Linked DNA regions of Oryzias latipes. The protein of the gene in region 3 interacts with the protein of the main gene of each other region in a pairwise test. Links are inferred from orthologs where the notes say so. Each region holds a gene or a part of one and is shown on either strand. Other genes may lie near its edges. The genes, in order: nif3l1, BTB/POZ domain-containing protein KCTD5, dmc1 and psma3.

The links.
Region 1: the proteins of dmc1 (region 3) and nif3l1 interact in binary tests that used the Homo sapiens proteins (3 or more experiments, as listed by UniProt). The two-hybrid records come from large-scale screens. The link is inferred for Oryzias latipes from reciprocal best matches to the Homo sapiens genes DMC1 and NIF3L1.
Region 2: the proteins of dmc1 (region 3) and BTB/POZ domain-containing protein KCTD5 interact in binary tests that used the Homo sapiens proteins (3 or more experiments, as listed by UniProt). The two-hybrid records come from large-scale screens. The link is inferred for Oryzias latipes from reciprocal best matches to the Homo sapiens genes DMC1 and KCTD17.
Region 4: the proteins of dmc1 (region 3) and psma3 interact in binary tests that used the Homo sapiens proteins (3 or more experiments, as listed by UniProt). The two-hybrid records come from large-scale screens. The link is inferred for Oryzias latipes from reciprocal best matches to the Homo sapiens genes DMC1 and PSMA3.

What each region holds. Positions count from the first base shown.
Region 1 is NC_019877.2:7,709,235-7,714,950, reverse strand, and holds the start of nif3l1 (NIF3-like protein 1), read right to left. Parts: upstream 3,804-5,716; 5' UTR 3,733-3,803; coding exon of another isoform or gene 3,697-3,732; intron 2,849-3,696; 5' UTR 2,838-2,848; coding exon 2,243-2,837; intron 2,147-2,242; coding exon 1,990-2,146; intron 685-1,989; coding exon 561-684; intron 472-560; exon of another isoform or gene 447-471; coding exon 308-446; intron 1-307. UniProt on the Homo sapiens protein: May function as a transcriptional corepressor through its interaction with COPS2, negatively regulating the expression of genes involved in neuronal differentiation.
Region 2 is NC_019877.2:2,301,656-2,307,221, reverse strand, and holds the start of BTB/POZ domain-containing protein KCTD5, read left to right. Parts: upstream 1-1,691; 5' UTR 1,692-1,971; coding exon 1,972-2,310; intron 2,311-5,566. Other genes in the region: phospholipase B-like 1, read left to right, coding at 1,039-1,215. UniProt on the Homo sapiens protein: Substrate-adapter for CUL3-RING ubiquitin ligase complexes which mediates the ubiquitination and subsequent proteasomal degradation of TCHP, a protein involved in ciliogenesis down-regulation.
Region 3 is NC_019877.2:2,422,879-2,427,433, reverse strand, and holds the end of dmc1 (meiotic recombination protein DMC1/LIM15 homolog), read right to left. Parts: intron 3,540-4,555; coding exon 3,487-3,539; intron 3,387-3,486; coding exon 3,345-3,386; intron 3,279-3,344; coding exon 3,206-3,278; intron 3,110-3,205; coding exon 3,018-3,109; intron 2,936-3,017; coding exon 2,862-2,935; intron 2,786-2,861; coding exon 2,671-2,785; intron 1,678-2,670; coding exon 1,617-1,677; intron 1,515-1,616; coding exon 1,398-1,514; intron 1,325-1,397; coding exon 1,255-1,324; 3' UTR 963-1,254; downstream 1-962. UniProt on the Homo sapiens protein: Participates in meiotic recombination, specifically in homologous strand assimilation, which is required for the resolution of meiotic double-strand breaks.
Region 4 is NC_019880.2:2,485,684-2,491,322, forward strand, and holds psma3 (proteasome subunit alpha type-3), read right to left. Parts: upstream 4,072-5,639; 5' UTR 3,988-4,071; coding exon 3,967-3,987; intron 2,595-3,966; coding exon 2,512-2,594; intron 2,423-2,511; coding exon 2,299-2,422; intron 2,057-2,298; coding exon 1,955-2,056; intron 1,882-1,954; coding exon 1,808-1,881; intron 1,700-1,807; coding exon 1,627-1,699; intron 1,555-1,626; coding exon 1,489-1,554; intron 1,254-1,488; coding exon 1,207-1,253; intron 1,124-1,206; coding exon 1,056-1,123; intron 935-1,055; coding exon 870-934; intron 794-869; coding exon 749-793; 3' UTR 651-748; downstream 1-650. UniProt on the Homo sapiens protein: Component of the 20S core proteasome complex involved in the proteolytic degradation of most intracellular proteins. This complex plays numerous essential roles within the cell by associating with different regulatory particles.

The DNA.
Region 1 (5,716 bases), about 5.3 Mb from region 3:
ATTTTTCACTTACATATGCATGAACAAAATATGTGATAAAATCTGTGAATAAATTATATACATTTATGCTAAAATACATCACAGTAATAAAAAAACAAAGGACATAAACCAGTGTTTGTGAATCCTTTAATAAACAATAGCTAAATAGCATGTTATGGGTCTATTTGTCATTTCTATATTTATCTTTTTCTTTAAAAAAAATAAACATAAAAACATGGGGAAAGGTTTTTTGTGTATTTGTGTATTTGGTGCTGTGCAAAAATCTGCGCTAACAGTGTTGGGAGTCCTTAAATCCATGTTTGTTTACCTAACGTTTGCCCCCATCCCAGGGCTAATCGCAGATGACTCAACACCAGGTGGGACTTCATCCTCTGGACGGCTTCAGCCACAGTCACTGGCTGCTCCAAAACGCTGAGTCGGCCTTGGCCGTGGCCCGGCAGAGGCGGCTGCAAGTGTGAAGCAGGTACAGAGCTGCCAGGTTACCGGGGCATCACAAAAGGACACTGTTATTGGAGTCTTAAAAAGTACTGACTTGGTCTTTTTTTGTGTTTCTGCTGTACCTTCTCTAACTTCAGGATGCTGAGGGACTGACTGGAGCAGCTGTGCTGCAGCAGAGTTTGAACGCTGGGAGTCAGTGCTGAGTCGCTGCATAATACGCTGGCGTGGATCCCACTGCTGTCTGCTCTGGTTTGAGAGAAGTAATAACCGAGACAAACAACTTATTAACATCTGATGATGCTAGTATTATTTTCACATTAGTATAAAAACAACCCGGCATAATCAGAGCGAATCCACCATCAAACCAATTTTTTTTTTTTAGTACAGCCATAGCTCATTTCTACGACGGAGTATTAGGGCCACCAAAAAAAAAAAATTAGAGCCACCAAAAAAAAAAAAAAAAGTAAAATTACGAGATTTTATCTCGTAAATTTAGGAGATAAAAACTCGTAAATTTAGGAGATAATAACTCGTAAATTTAGGAGAAAAAAATTCGTAATTTTAGGAGATTACAGTGGAAGTGAACATGCAGAGCAGCAGGTGAACGCCGTGCAGCCGCAGAGAAGACCGACTAAACTTTGTTGAACAGGTGAGCTGTATGTTTATTGATAACGTTCCAAATGTCTGGAAAGTCATTTGTTCGATTAACGATTCATTAAAGTTGTATTTATTGATGGTTGGTTTGCAGGATCTCTGCAGCCCGACGAAGCCGTTGTCGGTGTCCCTGCAGCTGTTCGCTTGAATCCTTTCTTCCTCCACCAAAGACAAGACTCTACGTCTGTGTGACGCTTCCGTCACACAAAAGGAGGAGCACTTTTTTTTTTTGGCATTTTCAACGTTCCAAAGCTAATATAAAACACTATTTTCATTCCTCTTTATTGTTTTATGCTGAAACGGGACATTTCATCTGCAGGAGGGGGCGTTTGTAAGACTGTTTACTTCCGCATTGGTGTTGGGATGACAGGTTCATGACGTAATGAGACAAATGAACTTCAGGATATGTGAATGGAAAGGAAAATAAAGGCTGCAGCGGTCCTCTACACCCAAACGTGTCTCTGAGCTCCTTATTTTACCTATGAAACTCCGCTTTACTGACACTGAACCCCGGAAAGACTACTACACGGAAACTAATCTGATTTTGAGTCGCCAAAAGGTTCAGAATCTCTTTGTTTTAAACCTATAATAATCCGGAAATGAAGCTTCACAAAAGGCTCCACATACTTCATCTTCAAGCTAGGTTCCGATAAACGGACAACTTCGGTGTTTTTTCCTTAATCTACGACTTTTTTCTCGTAAATTTATGAGATTTTAAGTCGTAAATTTATGAGATAAAAAGTCGTAAATTTACGAGTTTTTATCTCCTAAATTTACGAGATAAAATCTCGTAATTTTACTTTTTTTTTTTTTTTGGTGGCTCTAATTTTTTTTTTTTTGTGGCCCTAATACTCCGTCGTACATTTCTGAATATATTCCCCAAAAATCTCAAACAACCTGGTTCCTGTAGAGATTAAGGATGTTCCTCCATCACAGGCCTTAAGCTCCTTCATCACTGTGTTTAGTTCCTCTGTGCTTCTCACTGTGAACTCGAGTTTATGACAGTGGGAGGCGTTACCAAGAGCCTGACTCAGCACAGACACTTGGCCGCTGCCTGAAATTCAAAGAACAACCCAGAAAAAAGCAGATTACAGGTTCACATGCAGCCACAGCAAGCCTAATGCAATTTCCTGCCAGAAGAGCTCCTTACCAAGGCCTGCAACCAGCCAGTCATTTACCCCTCCTTTAACACTGTCCCATGAAGTGTGAGGGGAGAAGACCGCAATCCCAGCCTCTACCGCCCGGATGGCCAATCGCTGCTTCCAATCTTTCTGGTTCAGTCGCTTAACAGGACGGAACAACGGCGGGTGATAGGAAATAATGAGGTCACAGCTCAAAGCCTCTGCTTCCGCCATGACTGCATCTGTGAGGTCGTTGGTCAGCAGGATGGTTTTGACCGGCCGAGGTTTGCTAGGCTCGACCAGCAAGCCGACGTTATCCCATGACTCAGCAAGAGACAGAGGAGCGAGCTGCTCCAGAACCTGCAAAGTTTCCTTTAACTCCATGGGGCCAGTAAAGTGGGAGCAGTGAGGAGGCTGGAAGGCGGAGGAGAAAGGAGGATGCAGAAAGGATGAGCTGTTGATGATTCGCTGTTGAGGAGACGAGGAGACAGAGGGAAGAGAAAATGATGCTGCTGAGGCAGAGAAGTGGAGTTCACTTTTAGGCTTGAACCTTTTACACATCCAAGTTCTTCTATGTACAAGTGATGCAAAGATCAGAAAGAGATTCCTGCATCCAGTCAACATGAGTGGACCATCTGCATAAAACAAAAAAGAACACAAAAGTGGGCACTGGGTGCTATTTTTTCCCTTTCGAAAACATATCATTAAAATTCAAGTTCCCCAATTACAAAAACGAACAATCACTGCTAACTTTAAATACATTTTTCTCAAATATCTTCAGGTTTCATGTATTTAGTTATTATAATATCACCTATAATAGCCCTTAAATGCCTTCAAAGAAGAGGCTGTAATATACTTATTTATTCCTAAAAGCAACAGCTTTTTTTGCTCGGTCGAGCCGAGCAAACTTTCATTCGTTTTTATGCATATATACTTTGCTCCAAAAATTTAAGTCTGCATATAAGACTTTTTTAAAGGCCATATTTACCCTCTGAAGAAAAACTTAATGTGACTTTATTTCCAGTTTTTTTTCCTGACCACAATATTAATTTTTTAAGATATTTCATTGGAGATTTTGGACTACTTCACCACGTAAAGTCGTGGAAGATTATAAAACTAGGTCTGATCCACCAATTTTGCTGAATTTAAGTAAAAGCAAATTTGGATAATTATTCTAATCCATCTAATCCATCAAATAATAATTAATGATTTTGATAGAAACATAATATACACACACGTATGTTTAAATAAAAAGATCTACTACCTGCACACGATTTTTATATGACCAACACAAGCACAACAATGAGTGACACACATGCGGCTAAGCACAACTACCTACCCCTAGCTAAGCTAGCAGATTAGCTGCGCTACTAGTGTCTTGTAAATGTTGATAGAAAATCACCCATTTTATCAAAATTCAGTGTTGCTATGATGAGGTAAAAGCCGTTTCAGAGCATTGGCAAATGTAACGATCTTGTCATACGTTCAGGAAGATATCAGAAACTTTGTGAGCTAGCATGAACCTCTGCGACTGTCAGTCAGAACTTTCTGCACAACCCTATAAATGTCCCTTTCGAGCTTCCGTTGTGTATATCGACAAAAAACGGGACATAAATAAATAGGCGTGGCTTCTGTCACATTATATTACGATACAATGTTTTAAAGATACATTATAATGCCAACATTATGACATTTTATTTTATTTTATTTAACTTTAAATTTTGAGCATTTATTTTGTTTAGGATATTAGTTAAGATTCATTGTCTAATTTTGAAAAAGTTCTCGGAAGGAAAAGTCGCTTTTAAAAGATTTGATTATAAATATGGTGAAATCTTTGGTTAATTTTGTGGCAACTGACTCTTATAAGGTTACCTCAGTTTTAGCATAGTTCCTTTAATGTCATGCAGAAAATCATTTCTGGAATTTTTCCAAACAAGTTGAATTCTTTTAACCACATTTTTAAGCTATGCTCCTTTCACAGGAAAAATAAAGTTCTTTAAGCATTTATTAATTTTCCTGTCCTTATGTTCAAAAAATTTGTTCACAAATACGTTACCAAAAAAAACCTTTTTGACCTGCAAATATTTACAGAGCTGTAAGCACAACGTTGAAACTATTGGTCAGTAGGCTAAAAGTGCAGAAGCTGCCTTACTCTGTCAGTGAGTAGTTCTTTATTAGTGATAAAAACAGTTTAATTCTCTTTAGACTGAAATTCTCTGACTGTGGACATTGCATTCTAAAAATGAAAGCTTATTTGAACAAACAGCTACTGACAATATGTCAGAGACGTTAAATGGAAACCAAGAGGGCATTAGCTTTAAAAGGTGCGTTTAATCAGCCATCCTAATAAATCCTTTTGGTGTTGCATAATAGAGCTCAAATGTAATGTTATGAAACAAAATTACTGATTACTGTCAACAGGAAAAGGCTAGATGACTCTGATAAGCTGTATTAATTCGAGTGGGCAGGTGGTCCAGAAGATACCCAGGGATCCACTTGCCTTTTCTCAGAAAGATTACCGACCACATAGTAACACGCAGATGAAATCTGTCTGCAGCTGGTGGTCGTGAAGGGGTTAAACATGCATTTTTGGCACGACAGCAAGCTTCTGGACAGAATGGCTTCTTTTGGATTAAGTCAGAGAGTGACCAAGAGAGAGATATTGGGGATTAATGCATTAAAGGTCGATGCTAGATGTTAGGAAGGGGGATCAGGGAAGGATCAGCGCAAAGGCCAGCCAGAGTGTATTACATCATCTGAGTCTTCCTTTGGCCTCATCTTTCTGTCCGTGCATGACATCTATCAGAATAACAAGGTCCTGCTCTTCCAGCAATCACACAATTTACATTGTCAGGACAGTAAAAGCATTGAAAAATCTGAGGTGTTGAGTTTTTGGAACAGAAACAAAGACTTAAAAAACACTTGAAACAAAAAAGTATGCTGTTATTTGGAGTTACCGTATACATTGCTTTGTTCTCAGTTGTTTGGTTTAGCATATTGGCTTTTTTTAATTGGCGCTATAAGCCTCTGTTGCCCCATCTGGCTGTCTGAGCCCCTTTTTCCATACAACATCTGTCTGTGCGCTGTGTCCAGAGTGCACAGTGTTCCTGTCCGCACTCCAAAAGTCTAAGTAGGCCTTTCATTTCCGCTGACTTTTAATCCATTTGGCACCATAGAAATAACAACAACAAAAAAAAACTCAGGGTAAAAGAGTTTAACAATTTCTGTGGATGTATTTTACTTATTTTATTGTCTCTAAATCAAAAGCTCTGTAGCTTTTTGTGGATAAATCTGTTATGTAAAATTCTCCTTCTTAGTATTTTGAGTTCTTTGTTCTATTTTCGTTCCTTTCTCCAAATGACCTTCAAAAAACAAGCTTATTCAGTCGACATTTGGCTTACAGAGGAGCATCTCTAATGTCCTTTGGTTTACAAATCCCTTCAGTGGGACATTATCCTTAGTAAAATCTATCAATTTATGGAACAAGCTTTGACTTCTCTTGA
Region 2 (5,566 bases), about 120 kb from region 3:
CAACTTTAGACAATGACAGGACCAAATGACCATAGCAACGGTTACCAAGGGCTTTCCTGACAACTTTAGAGAATGACAGGACCAAATTACCATAGCAACGGTTACCAAGGGATTTTCTGACAACTTTAGACAATGACAGGACCAAATGACCATAGCAACGGTTACCAAGGGCTTTCCTGACAACTTTAGAGAATGACAGGACCAAATGACCATAGCAACAGTTACCAAGGGATTTTCTGACAACTTTAGACAATGACAGGACCAAATGACCATAGCAACGGTTACCAAGGGATTTTCTGACAACTTTAGACAATGACAGGACCAAATGACCATAGCAACGGTTACCAAGGGCTTTCCTGACAACTTTAGACAATGACAGGACCAAATGACCATAGCAACGGTTACCAAGGGCTTTCCTGACGACTTTAAAAAACTACAGGTCCAAACTACCATAGCAACGGTCACCAAGGACCTTCCTGTTGACAGCAGCGGATGATGTAGGGAAACAATAAGATCAGACAATAGCAAAGACCAATGAAACTTTGAAACTCATCTAGGTAGCAGAAGAAGAATTAAAACAGGCAGAAATATCACAGTCGGCACTGTCGGCTTACTGTGGGATTTCCTCCCACAGTCCAAAAGCATGCTTCATAGGTTAATTGGTGATTCTAAAATTGTCCCTGGGTGTGAATGAGATTGTGTGGCCCTGCAACAGACTGGCAACCCATCCAAGGTGTACCCTGCCTTTGCCCAGCAGTAGCTGGGATAGGCTCCAGCAACCCTGTAACCCCAACAGGGATTCAGCAGGTTTGGAAGATGGATGAATGGATGAATGGCCAATGGTGAAGCTGTACTACTAAAGTCTCCATAATTAAGATTTATTTTAATCACAACATTTGTCAAAATTAACAATATTAATTTGTTACAGCAATAAACACACTTCTACCAGCAACCCAAATCTGTGAAGCTTCATGCTCATATCAGCATATTATACACAGATGGATCTGAATGGTTCTTTATTTCTGCCCCACGTTTAAGGTGACGGACTACCAGATGGCTCTCCAACTGGCTGCTGAGGCTATAAACGGCCCCACCACGCAGGGCGGGCTGCGTCCGTTCGCATGGCGGTCCTTCAACCTCACCGCTCACCAGGGTCTCCCGCACACGTACAATTTTTCCTTTGTCGCCATGAGGCCCACACTGATCCAACCCTGAGAACGTAAACACGGCATACATGAAGGCGGAGGGTATTCTAAGAAAAGGATTCAAAGCAGTTTCACTGCATTTGTAAAAGAGAAAATGTAATTACTCCTGATGTAAGGCAGAAAGTTGTTTTATCTTTAGTTTTGTTATGACTTGGCTATTTTAGGCTACTCCTCTGTTTGAAACTCTACTTCCTGAATTGGACAAATTATCCAAAACTTTCCAGTTTTGACTGATGATTTCAGGGAAACGCTGATCATTTGTTTCCTCTATGCAACATTTACTCAGGATTGCAGATGTGGCGTTACAAACAATTTCACATTTATTTAAAACATATTTGATGTATACTCCTAGTCTGTCTTTAAACAAACTAGAAAATTAATATTTTTTGGAGGTTATTTTTTAAAGGGTGATGTTGAGACATTCAAGTATTTTTTTTTCTTCTGTATTTTAAAATGTTTAGACTAGTAAAAATCTGTTCAGTGTCAAATTGGGACTTTGTCTGAAGAAGAAAAAAAAGAATCAACAGAACAAAATCTGATGTCAAACTTTTTTCCCCGCCTGAATTCATTCATGAAATCAGAAATGGATTTGACAATGAATGAGTTTTGCCTCTTATTTTGAAAGGCGCAAACTCTTACTTTGAAAACCTGTTGGGGTTGAAGGCGGAGCCTGCTGGTGGGTTGAAGGAGGGAAAACACGCTCCTCATCAGCGGCGGAACGCACGCGCTCGTCCCTCCTCCCCGTAGGTTCGGCGGTTCGGTATTGATGGCAACGACCGCGAACGAGCAGCGGGAAGCGGCGGACGTGGCGGAACCGCAGCGCGGCTGCCCGCGGCTCAACAGCAACAACAACAATAACAACAACAACAAAGACAGCGAGGCGGGAGGAGAGAGCACGAGCTCCGCCGGCGCCAGCGCCACGGCCGAGTCCGGCGGGGCCGGGACGGCGCCGCACAACAACGGCTCCTCGGCGGGGAGCAACGGGAAGTGGGTCCGGCTGAACGTCGGCGGAACCGTGTTCCTCACGACGCGGCAGACGCTCCTGAAGGAGCAGACCTCCTTCCTGTACCGGCTGTGCCAGCAGCAGGACCTGCACTCGGACACGGTGAGCCAGCGGGAAAACAAACAAACAAACAAAAACCCTACTTCCGTTAGAAACACCTGGGTGACCTTCTGCTTGTCCTGAAGGCCACGCCTCCACTGATTTCTGAAGCCTAATTAGTCAATCACGTGACCAAAATCCCCTTTAAATCCATTGAATTATCCGTCATTTGTGCTTTTTCCTCTAAAAATTTAATAATAGTCCTTAAAGTCACAAAAATATTTGCTTTTATTGATGATATCTGATCAATTGTGATGTATTGAACTGTTGCCTTCAAAGACCGTCCGGTGTTTTGAGCCTCCCGCGGAGCATCACTTGGTGGTGGTGGTGGTGGTGGAGCGGCTGCCATCAGATGCGTGAGCACGTGCTGCCTCTGCAGCAGTGCTGCTCAGTGGGAAGCTGCAAAGCTGCCAGGCTTTGGGATGGAGCAGAGGGGAAGACTAAAGTGTCTGCCTGCAAGCGAACGCACCGCGGGGCCTGAAAACACTTATAAATGATGCAAATGTGTGTTTTTTTTAAAGTCATGTGGGTAACAGAGGGGAAGGTTATTCAAAACAAACAAACGAGTTGGTCTTTCATTTAAAGTGTACAAATCTTATTTTCTTTGGTGTTCTTTTTTTTTAAATATTTTAGACGCAAAAATGCTTTTATTCGTCCGGTGACATGAGAAACTAGTGATCAAATGAAGTCATTTGACCTTCAGTAAATCAATGAAGATCCCAAACCGGCAGCAACAGGACACTCTGGAGGTTCTCATGGGTGTAAAGCTGCTGCTGAGCGGCTGAATAATTAGATTTTCAGCTTGACTGCATCAGAGCGACTACAAGATTAGGTGTAGAATTAGATTTGATCTGTTTTGCCTTCTCAGTCAGTGAATGCATCACGCTGCACCAGGACGCGTTCAGGTTCCATGTGGAACATTTCCCGGAGTTTGTAGGCCGTCTGATGTAAATCATCTGTAGTTCCTGCTGGGGAGAGAAAGAGCAGCAAGCAGTTGACTCCACTGAGCGTGCTCAGTAGGAGGAGACTAACCCGACAAAGCTCGCTCACAGACACGTCCAATATGGCGCCTCGTTGTTGTAATTATCGCCAAACGGATCATTTGCTTGATCCAGTCAGGAAGTTTTATAATCCTTTAAAGCCAATTTTTGTGACATTTTCAGCTGCGATGCATTCAGGCCGTCAAAAAAAGTCGTAAAGTTATGGCAATAAAGTCATAATTTTACAAGAAAGAGCTAGAATCTCCTTTTTTGTGAAACCAGCTCTGAAGTAATCACTTACAATGGGTTCAACGACCTTTTCCTGTTGCTTAGATTTTTCTAAGTACACAGACGTTTGCCTCTGAAAGTTGTTACTTTAGTCTCTTAGATTCTCAACTTATGACTTATGTGATTATAACTTTATTATTGTGAAATATTGACTCTTTTACTCATAATTTTTTTTTTAATGATAATTCAACAATTCAACAAGATTATTCTTGTAAAATTACGACTTTCTTCTAATAATTTTTCAATATTATTTTCGTAAAATTATGACTTTTTCTCATAATTTTACATCTTTATTTGTGTAATTTTGCACGTTTAGTCTCTTAAAATGACAGCTTTATTCCTATGACTCCGTTGTCAAAAGCACAAATCCAGCTGGATGCTTCTGCTTATCTCCCTCCCGGTATTTAAAGTTAAATTAGCTGATGTTGGCGTTAAAACGGCTGGTTTTAAGTCATTTCCTGTGACCACAGTTACGGCGCCGCGGCCCGATGACAGGGATTTGGCCTTTAACCGAGTCACTGAAGCTGCTTCCTCTCCGTGGGACAGAAATATCTAACTTGTGTCGTCCACGACGGACGTCACGGTCAGGATGCGGTCGGTCTTCTTTCAGGGACGTCAGATCAGTCGCAGCAGAATTTCATTTTCCTGCTGAACTAGAGCACCACGGCAGGCCGGTTCTCCTCTGCTGTGCGGTCAGCCGTACGACCCGTTGGAGCCCAAACCTCCAGCCGTGCTCTCCTCTCCCTGGTTTATTTCTGCTGGCGTGTTCTGGAAGAGGCTCTGAACCCTCCAGTGACTGAGGCGGTTGCGTAGCAGCCTGAGTCAGTGTTTAGTGTTTGCGCAGAAAGACAAAGTGGACTAAATATAGAGGCACCAGAAAAAGAGCCGTTTCACGTTAGCATGAGAGCTTCAGCGCCGGTTCCCAAACATTCCTCCCAGTCTTTCCGTTCGGATCGTCCAGCTCGGTTCCACGTTCCTGATGACCCGTTGAAGTAAAGAACATGGTCAAACAAAAGCACGGCTTCACTGCCTGCCAGTGAAAGTGGGAAACTAGAGGGAACATGCTGTCTGTTCTTGCTTCTAGCTAAATGGGTCATATTGCACCATCAGCTGATGAGCAACATTTCTCCTCTAAAAACAGAGAGGCTGCTGGGATTTCCATGACTTAAAGAAAAGAGCAATTCGCTGAAGTTCTGCTAAAAGCTACAAATCTACTACTAAACTCACAAAGTCCTCTGACCGGACTAAACCATCGACTGTCTCTGAGAACCTGATCAAGGGGGGGTGATGGCACCCATTTACGTCCTGCTCCAATCAAAGGGAAATCAATTCAGTCGCCATTTAGGCGCGACACGGACGCCGCCATGTTGGAGCCAGGCGGCGTCAGTACACTGCAAAAAGGGAACCAAAGAACGTTTTTAAAAAAAAAAGACCCTCACGTCGAGATAAAATGACTTATTTTCTGTCTTGCAAGAAAAATAATCTCGAGAATTTTCTTTATCAAAAAAGAAAACTTTGAGGAAACTCGTCTTAGTGACTAGAATTTTGTTTCTTATAAGCGTTTCTAATCCGACTTTTCTTACGCCATCGGCAGATTTACTGACCTTATGTAAGGAAAGAGGCCTGCTTCAGCAGCGTAAGCAGTGATTGGCCCGAGTCGGTCTGAGTCGACGTTTCTATGGCAACCACTCTCACCAGTCAGTTCGGAGTCTTGAAGGTAGGACGTGGGGCTCCGCCTACTTTGGTCAATTGGTCATTGTATAACTTGAATGACTTAAATTACAGAAAAAATATGTAAAAAAAAGAATTGGCAAGAATATTTTAAAGACCCATTTCGATTAAAAATGGTGTTTTTAACCGGTTCTTGTGGTATTTTACTGATGATGGAGAATATCTATCTATATAAAGATAGTTGGGCCAAAAATTACATTTCTGCGTATTTCTTTATTCAAATCGTTTTGAACCAGGAGCAGCTGAAAAGATGCCGTTTA
Region 3 (4,555 bases):
GTTTTGAACATGTTTTTAAGTCATACAAGTTCATATTACATACGTTTCTGTGTGTTTTGCACTCCAACGGGTTCACTTTAAAATAGTAATTTATTAAAAAACGGTTCAATTATGTGCCCCCTTTAAAATATTCATTAATAGTAATAAACGTACCCTGTAAGCTTACAATCTTTCTTTTAATGTAAAGCTTTGAAACAATAAAACTCTGGCTCTGTTTATTTAAACTATGATAAGTTCAGAGGGGAACCACCCTCTTTGCCCCTTTTTGAGTCGCCCTCGCTGGCCGTTAGATGCCCCTTAGCCTCCCCTTCTGCCTCTGCCACCCTGGTAAGAGCTGGACGTGACAAATTCTTTTTTCGAAATGGCAGCCTTTCTGTTGGTTGTATCTCCATAGCAACCATTTTGTCTTTTGGTCGCCTGGGGGCGACGAACAAGCCGGTGTAATTTTTGGAAGAATCGGCAAAAGTAAATTTTTAGGTTTCCTTGGCAACAGAAGTTTTTTGTTAACCACGCCCACATTTTGGATACATTCATATCGTGTGTTATATCGTTTCAAATCGGCTCGACGCAGAGATTCGTGTATTACATTTTCATAACATTCTGATAGAAAATGTGAGAGCAAGAAAGGAACGCCATTCTTGCGAGGTCGCCACGGTAACGTCATTCAAAACCTATAAACCTTTTCTTTCCCCAACATTTATTTTCGCCCCAGCGTCCCAATGATGCTTGGGGAATTAGGAGGTAATAGATTCTAATCCATAGAAGGAGTTTGTAGAAGGTGATTTCTTATGAAAATTCCAGATGGCGGCCTCTTCCTGAGGTCAAAGGTCAACAAATCTACAGCTGTGGTTGTAGACTTAACCTGGTGATGAGTTTGCTTTCTTTTCCTATTCTGTGCTTAGGTCCAAATTAATTTACTAAACTCTATTGGTTCTGAAAAGTATTGCATTTGCACAAGAAGTAGATTTTTGCTGAAATGATTTATTCATATTTCTATCAATAAACAGGGAGAAATGACTATTTCCAGTGTAACATAAGTTAAGGAAAGGAAAACTTCACTTTTCAATCCGATCTTTTGTGACTTATTTTGAAATAAACCAGACATTCTGCCCAATTGAACTTCAATAAATTACTTTTTTTGTTGAATTCAGTGCATCTGGAACACAACAAGCTGTCATATAAATACTAAACAGAAACGATACCGCAGCTGTAAGCCAACAGGCGGCCGTGAACACGTCTGTCCTCCGTTTTTCGTCACTCTTTGGCGTCAGTCACTCCTCCAGCAGAAATGGCAAAGGTCGCCTCGTTTTCAGGCATGACGGGGCTGCAGACAAACGGTCCAGTAAGTCCGGTTCATTTAGGAGCTGTGATGATTATCAATATCAAAGGCTTACAACCTGTCGAATATTTTAGCGATTCTCATCTCTCCTCTTCCTTTCCTCAGGCTGATGCGGGTGGTGGAGGCGTGGGCCAGGATGTGCCCCCCGATGGGCTTCTTGGGATCAGCTTGAAATCTAAAACAGGGGGGGGGATACATAAAAGCACATTTCTGAGTCAGAAATGAAAAAACAAACAAACATCCTTTTCTGATGAATGAGGGTTTTTGTGATCCTTACGTCATCCCTGCTCCAGGATCTGCCGTCATCTGGTTGGTAACAAACACAGCCACGTTGTACTCTAGAAACACAAACAGCTGCTTACTCTGCCTGAACACTTTCTCCTCTTGATCATCTTGCTTTTCTACAGGATTTTAACCCTTGTGCTATCTTAGATGACCCCACCCTTCCATTGATGTGTTCTCCCTACCATGACAAAGGTGGATAAAGGTGGAAAGATTTCATGTAATCCAGTGACACCAGTGAAGATCACAAATCATTGAAGAAAAAAGGTTCAGAGCACTGTCTAGTGGGTCTAGATGACCCAACTCCCAATGTTAAAGTGCCTAGGATAGCACAAGGGTTAAAGGACAGGACTTTAACCCATCTTTGCATTTCTGTGACCCCTATCTCATTAGTACAACAGAGTTTTAGGGCCAGTTTACAATTATTATAATTTTTATTACAAGATTTTAAGTCATAAATTTACAAGAGAAGAAAATCATATAAATTTACAAGAAAAGATCTTGTAAATTTAGTAGAAAAAAACTCATACATTTATGAGTAAAAAATCTAATAGATTTACTAGAAAAAACTAGCAAATTTACGCGAAAAACATTCTTATAAATTTACAAGAATAAATCTCATACCTTTACTAGAAAAAACCTTGTGAATTTAAGAAACAAAAAAGTCATAAATTAATACGAAAAACCACCAAAGTTGTCTGTTTATTGGCCCTTTGTTTGAAGATAAAAGATGTGGAGCATTTTGTGAAGCCTTATTTCCGGATAGGTTTCAAAAACCAGGAAGTTCTGAACCTTTTGGTGACTTAATATCAAATTCTTGTCAGTGTAGTCGGCTTTGCGTGCGCACGCTTATCCGAATTTCTTTTCTTTTTAACCACGGTCACCTGGAGGGCTCCGTATTTCTGTTCATTCTTCGCGTGCCTTTACGGTTTGAGGTTTGGCTCCTCCCCGTGTCGTTTCTTCACCATAAGGAGCTTCATGAACAACTGAAAACGTTTCTGTGCTCTTAACCCCTGAGACACTTCAGCAAACGCAGATCTGCTTCTCACCCTCAGAGATTTTCTGCAGCCGGGACAGCATCTGGGCCAGTTTCTGCTGCCGCTCGGCCAGCTCCCCCCGGCCAGAGAAGTCCACTCTGAACAGCGCCATGATGGAGTCAATAATCTGAAGGAGAGCAGAGTCAGCCTCTGCCCCGATCGCAGGGGTCACGGCGGAGGTCCAGGAGTGAAGGTCTCCTCACCAGCAGCTTGAACACGCCTCCCTCTTCATGAAACTTGGCGGCTACAAAGTCCAGCAGCTCCATCTGGTGTTCGCCTGCGGAGAAACAGCGTCACGGGGACCAGCGTTCATTTGCATCATAAGAACGTGCGTTGATTCCATGGTGTGGCTGGCGCACTGGTATAAGCTCGAGCATAAAGCACGTTGTCCAGAACCGCACCGTGGTCCACGTTGAACCTGTCGGCGATGTCTCTCAGCCTGTCTGGGCGACTGAAACACGGCAGGTCAAGAACATCACCAAAACACAGATAGGAGTTCAGGACCAGCGTCACTTCATGCATAAAGTTGCTTTAGCCGTAAGGATACAACGTGTTCTCTGTGTCGATGAAGATGACTTTTCCTCCGGAGTAGCCGTTCTCCCCTGGCAGCTGTGCAGTGACTTCACGCAGAAACAGAAATGTTCATGTCATGTGCAAAAAAAGATGCTTGAAACTGTTTTACTCACCACAAAGCGTGTGAGACAGCTGGGTTTTTCCTGTGCGGAACTCTGACAAACAAAGACAATATTCATTTTTTATAGATTAAACATGTAATAATCTGTTGGGAAACTTTTGGATTAATAAACAGAAAGGCGGGGGTCTCCTCACCTCCGAAAGCTTCTGTAATAGCCATGCTCTCAACGCCTCCACCCAAAAGTTTACTGCAGAGGGAACATAACACATCATGGGAATCAGAATCAGCTTTATGGGACTTTGGCATTATTTTATTGCTTTTTGCAATTTTACATTGTTGTTTTTTTTTTCATTTTCCATAGAACACTTTGGCTATAAAAAGTTACACCAGCCCTTTTTTGCCGGGTCATTTTTACCCGATATAATGAACCCAACAAAAAGCACTTGTGCTAAAAAATAGATCAAAACACGACAACACATGATCACTCAGAGTGGTTTTCTTTTCTTTTCAACTGTGGCAAAATAAAAAATAAAAACATAGGAGGTTCCTGAAAACGGGAAATTTTGAAATTTGAGAACAAAAAAATCCTAAAAAATATCAAACTTATACTAGAAACCTGGGGCCTCATTTATAAACGTTGCGTACGCACAAAAGAAGGCGTACGCCACTCTCTACGCAATAGTTGAGATTTATAAAAAGCAAACTTGACGGGAAAATGTGCGGTCCTCCACGCAAGCTCTGACCCAGGCGTACGCACAAAAACGGGTGAAATGAGAAATGGCGACACCGTCGGCAGATGGAAGAAATACGTGAAAGTGACAGTGTGTGCCAAATCGTGCTGGCATGTGCTGTGCTACACAATGTGGCATAGCTTAAAAACGTGCCTCTACCCCCTGGCGCTGATTGCTGTGTTGGCCCCGACCCTGAACCCCATCCCCACGCATTTGAGCCATTTGCTGCTGCTGTGCGCCAGCGTTTGGAAGTGATGCGTCGCTTATAAAGAAAAAGAGGGGTGGAAAATATTATTTATTTAAGAATTCCCTCATCGTGCAGTTTATTTCAGTCAGGGCGATCTTGATTTCGCCCAACTCCTTGGCCACCTCTCTGATTGAACTACTGACTTCCCTCTGCATTTCAAGGACTGCATCGGTGAGGACGCGTCCACTGCTGGAGGGTTGAGAGCCGCGTGCCGTGGAGACGCTGGGTCCAGACGGCTGCTCAGCTGCAGCATCGTAACCACTGGCCCCGCTGGAACACCCAGCA
Region 4 (5,639 bases), on a different chromosome or scaffold from region 3:
AGGTTTCTGCTTTTATTTTGGTAAACTCCCCAAAGGAAGTTAAAAGTAGAATTTCTCATGTATTTAAGTTTGAGAATTTATCAATTTATAAACAGAAATTTGGTTCTTTTTATCAAGAGAAGCAGATTTACTGTCAAACTCCAGGACGCCATCTTTGAATTGGTCAGATTGGCGTTTCAGCTCCAGTTTTCCTTTCATTTGAACAGCAGCTCGGTGGTCTGAGAAGATCCACCTGGATCTTCATGCACTTAAGCTCCTCCCACAGCCGCTTCTGAAGCCGCCTCCTCCCTGGTTTCTGCTCTGCCTCCCAGACGTTCAGCTCCTCAAGCCGTTTGTTCTGTAAATAAAGCTCTGAGAAGAGACCACACGTCTACATTTTTCACACCGGCACAGAATGATTTCTAATATTTTCTAAGAGAAGACTGTTTGTACTGTAGTCCTATAAACTCCTCGGTTGTTTTTTTTTTCCTTGTGGTGTTTTTCCGGAAGCGATTCGAGAGCAAAACTTGTAAATAGAGAAACGCACAGAAGTGTGTGTGTGCACAATGAGCAGCTCTCAGTTTCTAATAAACTTTGTAACCACAGACTGTTGGAGCCTCATTCTAGAACCTCAAACTTTTTTCCAGGCAGAAGAAGTAAAGCAGCCGCTGAACATTTCCAGAATTTTATTTCCAAATGTGAAAACAAAGGAAGCGACGAACAATAAAAGACGAAGAGGAGACCGGAGGCAGCAGCAGCAGCTCTGGGCTCACATGTTGTCTTCATCAGAGTCGTCCTCTTCTTCCAACGAATCCTGCAGCAGAAAGATAGTCAGCTGACAACACCGCCCTCTGCAGGCGCCAACAGGAGCTACGGCGTTCTACACTCACCTTGGCGTATTTCTCTGCTTCCTCCTTGACGTCTTTAGGAACGAACTCGTGTCGTCCGTTTGTGACTGCGGAGGACAAGAAGCGGAGAATCAGCCGTCGCCGTGCCGACCACGGGCTTAGTCCCACAGCTCCCTTCCCATCATGCTCTGGGTCAGGCCAGCTAAAACGGCACAGGTTCTTTCTCACCTTCTCCAACCCAGCTGAGCTCCAACTCAAAGGCCTTGTCTTTCACTTCGTCGTGAACGATGTAGATTCTTTATAAAAAAAAAAAAAGGGAAATTTTAGTTTTTCAGCCTTCTTTGGTTCAGAGCTTCTTCATGAACAGAGTGAAACTCACATTTTAGCGACTTCTTTGACCAGCTCTCGACACGTCATGTCCTTCATCTGTCGGAGGAAACGGTCGGATATGTGAGAACGTCTCTGCTCGCAGAGTTCAACGTGTGAAATATTAGTCACAAAACAGCAGCTCCAGAACGTCAGAACTAAACCAGATTCATGAATCGTGTCTGAGCTCAGCAGAAACCCTTCGTGAAGGCCTGAGCTGCTGGTGGTCTCAGCAGTCGCCCGCTTTTACCAACCTTTCACAGTAAAACGCTCGCTGGTGTTCCTGCAGACTCACCTGCAGCTTTTCAATCTCCGTCTTGGCAGCTTGCTTTGCTTTCCCGATCGCACACCCCCAGTAACCCTGAAGACACAGAGGCTGGTTAGTCGGTCTCACCTGGAGTCACCTGAACGCACACGAACACACCCGACTCACGTAAGAGATACCAGACGGGTCGACCATGTAGAGCTGAGGACCGTCGTCTTTGTCATACGAACCCAAGATGAAGCTGAGAGGAGCAAACACGTGGGGGGGTTAGAGATCATAGACTACAAACACTTCTGCACTGTCCCTGAACGCACCACGGGTCTTTTTAAACGTGCTGAAGAACACCCACCTGCAGCCGAACGGCCTCACTGCGCTGTACAGCGTGTACGCATGCACATACATGGCCACTCTGTCAGATAGGTGCTGCAACAAAACATACACACCCTTAGCATCACCATGGAAACAGGCGTGACAACCTGACGGTAGGAAAACCAACCTTCAGAGGAATGTCGTGTCCGTAATTCGACCTGAAGTTGGAGGCTTCCTCTCTGGCTACTTCAGCGAGTGAGCGAGCATCAGCTAACAGGCCTGCTACCGCCTGGAGAGAGAGAGACAGACATCCATCAAGCACACCAGAAACTGTCACTCACAGAAGATCTTTCATTCATTTTTTAATGCATCACTTTAAAAACAGTTTAATAAACGGTCTCTGCCTGCAAGGAGGTTGTGAGAAAACAGGAGCAGCAGAAGAAAAAAAAACACCACAGATTCGGCGTGACGCTTTAAACCATCGCAGCTGAGAGAAACCGGGGACAAAAAAAAAAAAAAATCAGCTGTTACCATGCCAACGTGTCTGTCAATGTTGAAGATGCGTTTGTTGGACCCCTCCTCGTAAAGTTTGGACAAAATGAGCTTCTCCACCCCAAACACGACTCCATCTTTGCAGCGGATCCCGATAGCTGTGCTGGAAGTTACACAAACACACACACAGGTTACACACAGACACACAAACTGAGATGAGAGGCGTGGAAGGAGAAGGAGGACGGAACTGACCTGCTGTTCTCCACCGCCTTAATGGCGTACTCCACCTGGAAGACCCGACCATCAGGGGAGAAAGTGGAGGCAGACAGGTCATACTGCAAGACACACAAACACACAACATCAGCATTATACGCAAAATAGGAGAACAAACAGAAGTCCACTAATCCAGGACAACACCCAGACCTCGAGGGGGGGACGTGTAGCCTTGATTTGCTGTAATCAACCAAACCATAAATCAAATATAACCAGAACAAAAATATATATTCACTTTTTTTATGTCTGATTTTAAAGAAATTCTACAAAAATGAGTGTAAAGCCTTCATTATTGACCAACCAGGTGTTGTGACGTACCGATTAAAAACAATTATAGACCATCAGTAATCAATTTATTATTAATTTAAATAATATAATATATAATTTAAAAATAAAAAAACATTTTTAGTTCTGTAAATATGCTGCATGTTTCTACACATCTAGAGTAAAAAAAAAATCTTGACCACAACAACTTTTTTAGATTCAGTTTAGGGTCTCATCCGGTGATAGAAGTGACTCCGCATCAGTTTTTCTGCATTCACGGTGGAGGGGATCAGTGCTGGGTTGGACCGAGCGACTGAACCTGGTTTCAGCAGGTCAAACAAGGTCACTGGATCCATTCTCATCCATCACATCCACAGCTTATCGTTTTTATTTCAGGTGTTTTCCTCTCCACAGTTTTGAGCTCAAAACATAAATCACACAGAAAATTCATCCGTTCCTCTTTACATGCAATTTTATAATATATTTAGGATTGTTTTAATGATCAGGACTGAACTGAACCATTAAAAAAAAAGTCAGGATAATATATGAAAAGAATGGAAATATAACAAAAGTAATTCAATATAATTGATTTTAGGCTTCCAGTGTAGCGCTTTTAGACAACCTTGATTGATAGATTTTTTTTATGTTTTAACACTAACAGGAGCTTAAAAAAAATGTAGTTTTATTATAGAGACTCGTCTAAGCAAAAAAAAAAGTCAATTTGACCTAACATTAGACCAGAAACAAATCGCTTCAAACTGACAGATCTACCAAACAACGCGATTTTGATTTCCACATTTTCACCAGTTCTGTTAGCTAGCTCAGCTGCTAGCATCACTCCACGTAGAAGAAAAAAACAAACAAGCAAAGATAAAGAGGCCAAACAATCCCGGAGAATTCTCTCGAACAGTCTTCAAATCTTACTGATTTCAAGTATCTAAAACAAACAATAAATTTTTTTAAACACAGGTTTTACTTTCACTTCGTCTGTTAGCAGCCGCTCTGTGACTCAGCAGCAGGCTAACAGGCTAGCTTCATGCTGCTGTGTTCCCACGCTCCTGGTAATGTGACCGGCCTATTCCCCCCTCAAACCGATATGGACTCAAACTCACAACATTTAGCACTTTTATCACAAACGTACTGGATTAAAAGAGGCAATAAAAGACTCACCCCGGTTCCGATGGAACTCATTTTCACACAAACTTAAAGAAGCTTCAGCCCGTGTTTCCGGTGACGCTCGATCACTTCCGCCGGTCGCCTTCACAATAAAACGCTTTCCTTCAGCACATTACCCACGAAGAGCTTTTTAATCACAACTTGCCTTTAAAAAACACAGTAAAGTCCCCAATTTGTTTTTTTTTTTACTTGTATTTTTTTAATAAGCACAATTAAATTCTGATTAGAAAAATAATATCTTTTAGCTGTAAAAAGTATTGTACCTCCCAGTTATTTTTGTCAAGTTCTGGGTTCTTGACTTCATCATATTTTTTATTTATTTGCTTGAAATAGAACATGTGAAAATAACTAAAATAATAATGTTTACTTTATTTTTGTCGTAGTTTCCATTTTATAGCTTTCAAGTTTTTGAACTAACTTTAAAAATTCTATTCTGTTTTCTTCTCATAATAAATTACACCTTAAAAATGACAGTGAAATCCCTGAAAAACATTCAGATTGAAAAATATGCAAATAAACGTCTGCACTTGTTTATAATACTTACAATAAAATACTTACTTTATTCAGTTTAACTCCTTTAATGTACTTATATTTTACTGAAACAATACTTGAACCATTTTTGACTGCACTGCATTAATGTATTCACCTAAAACCTAATTCCAGTCTTCTGAGGAGAGTCCGGGTGTCACTGCAACAGGTATGTTGGAGGTCATGCAGCTCTTTGTTATAAAAAACCCTGAACAGAACATGGTTTTCTGCAGGTCCCTTTCAAAATAAAACTTGACCAGATGCTCCTGTGAACACTGAAGCACCAGTGAATATTTTTCTATGCTACAGAGACCTCGCAGGACCTTCAGGTGTACCTGTACCCCCCTCCCCATCAGGCAGAAGACAGTAAGAGGTTCACACACAGAACTTGTAAGAAAAGTGTCCATAAAGACTTTATTGAGCGTGAGAGAGAGAGCCGTGTGGATTACAGACCTGCTGAAGTTCAACCAAACAACCAGTGAGTTTATTCCTCACATCTCCATCTGGATCCGAAAGCTTTGGTCACATCAGAGTGAAGAACATTCATTTACAGTGCTGTTAAAAAACAGGAACTGAACATGTGATTCATTTTTTTTTCTGTTCTTACAGGAAATCAAAGTGTGACTGACGTTAAGGCAACAAGACTGAAGCTCCACCGCCGAGAAGATAAAGAAGAAGCTTGTCAGACCAGAAGAACCGAGCCACACGGATGATGAGCGTCTGTTAGTTCATAAAAACATATACAAGGACTTTATTATTACACTTTGATAATGGGGGTAGAGGAGGGGGGCCGGACTCCAGGAGGAGCAGCAGAAACAGAACGAGCCGCCATTTCCAACACATCAAGATGTTCGGCCTCCTCAGAGTCCGGACGTTCTCCTCAGGACAGCTTCCTGTCCAGTTGAACCCTCAGAACCCGCCCAGAAGCTTCCAGTTTGATGCTTTCCACCTGGACTCGGAGCGAGACGGAACCCCTCGGTGTGCTCAGACTCTGTAGGAAGGACAACCTCGTCTGCACAGTCGGGAACACGCCGAGCTCCAGAACCTCTGAGCTGCAGAGGCTGGAACACGTCTACTGGACGGATCCACACTGCAGCTGAAAGACCCCAAACTTTTTTTTCTGAGTAAAGACAAATCAA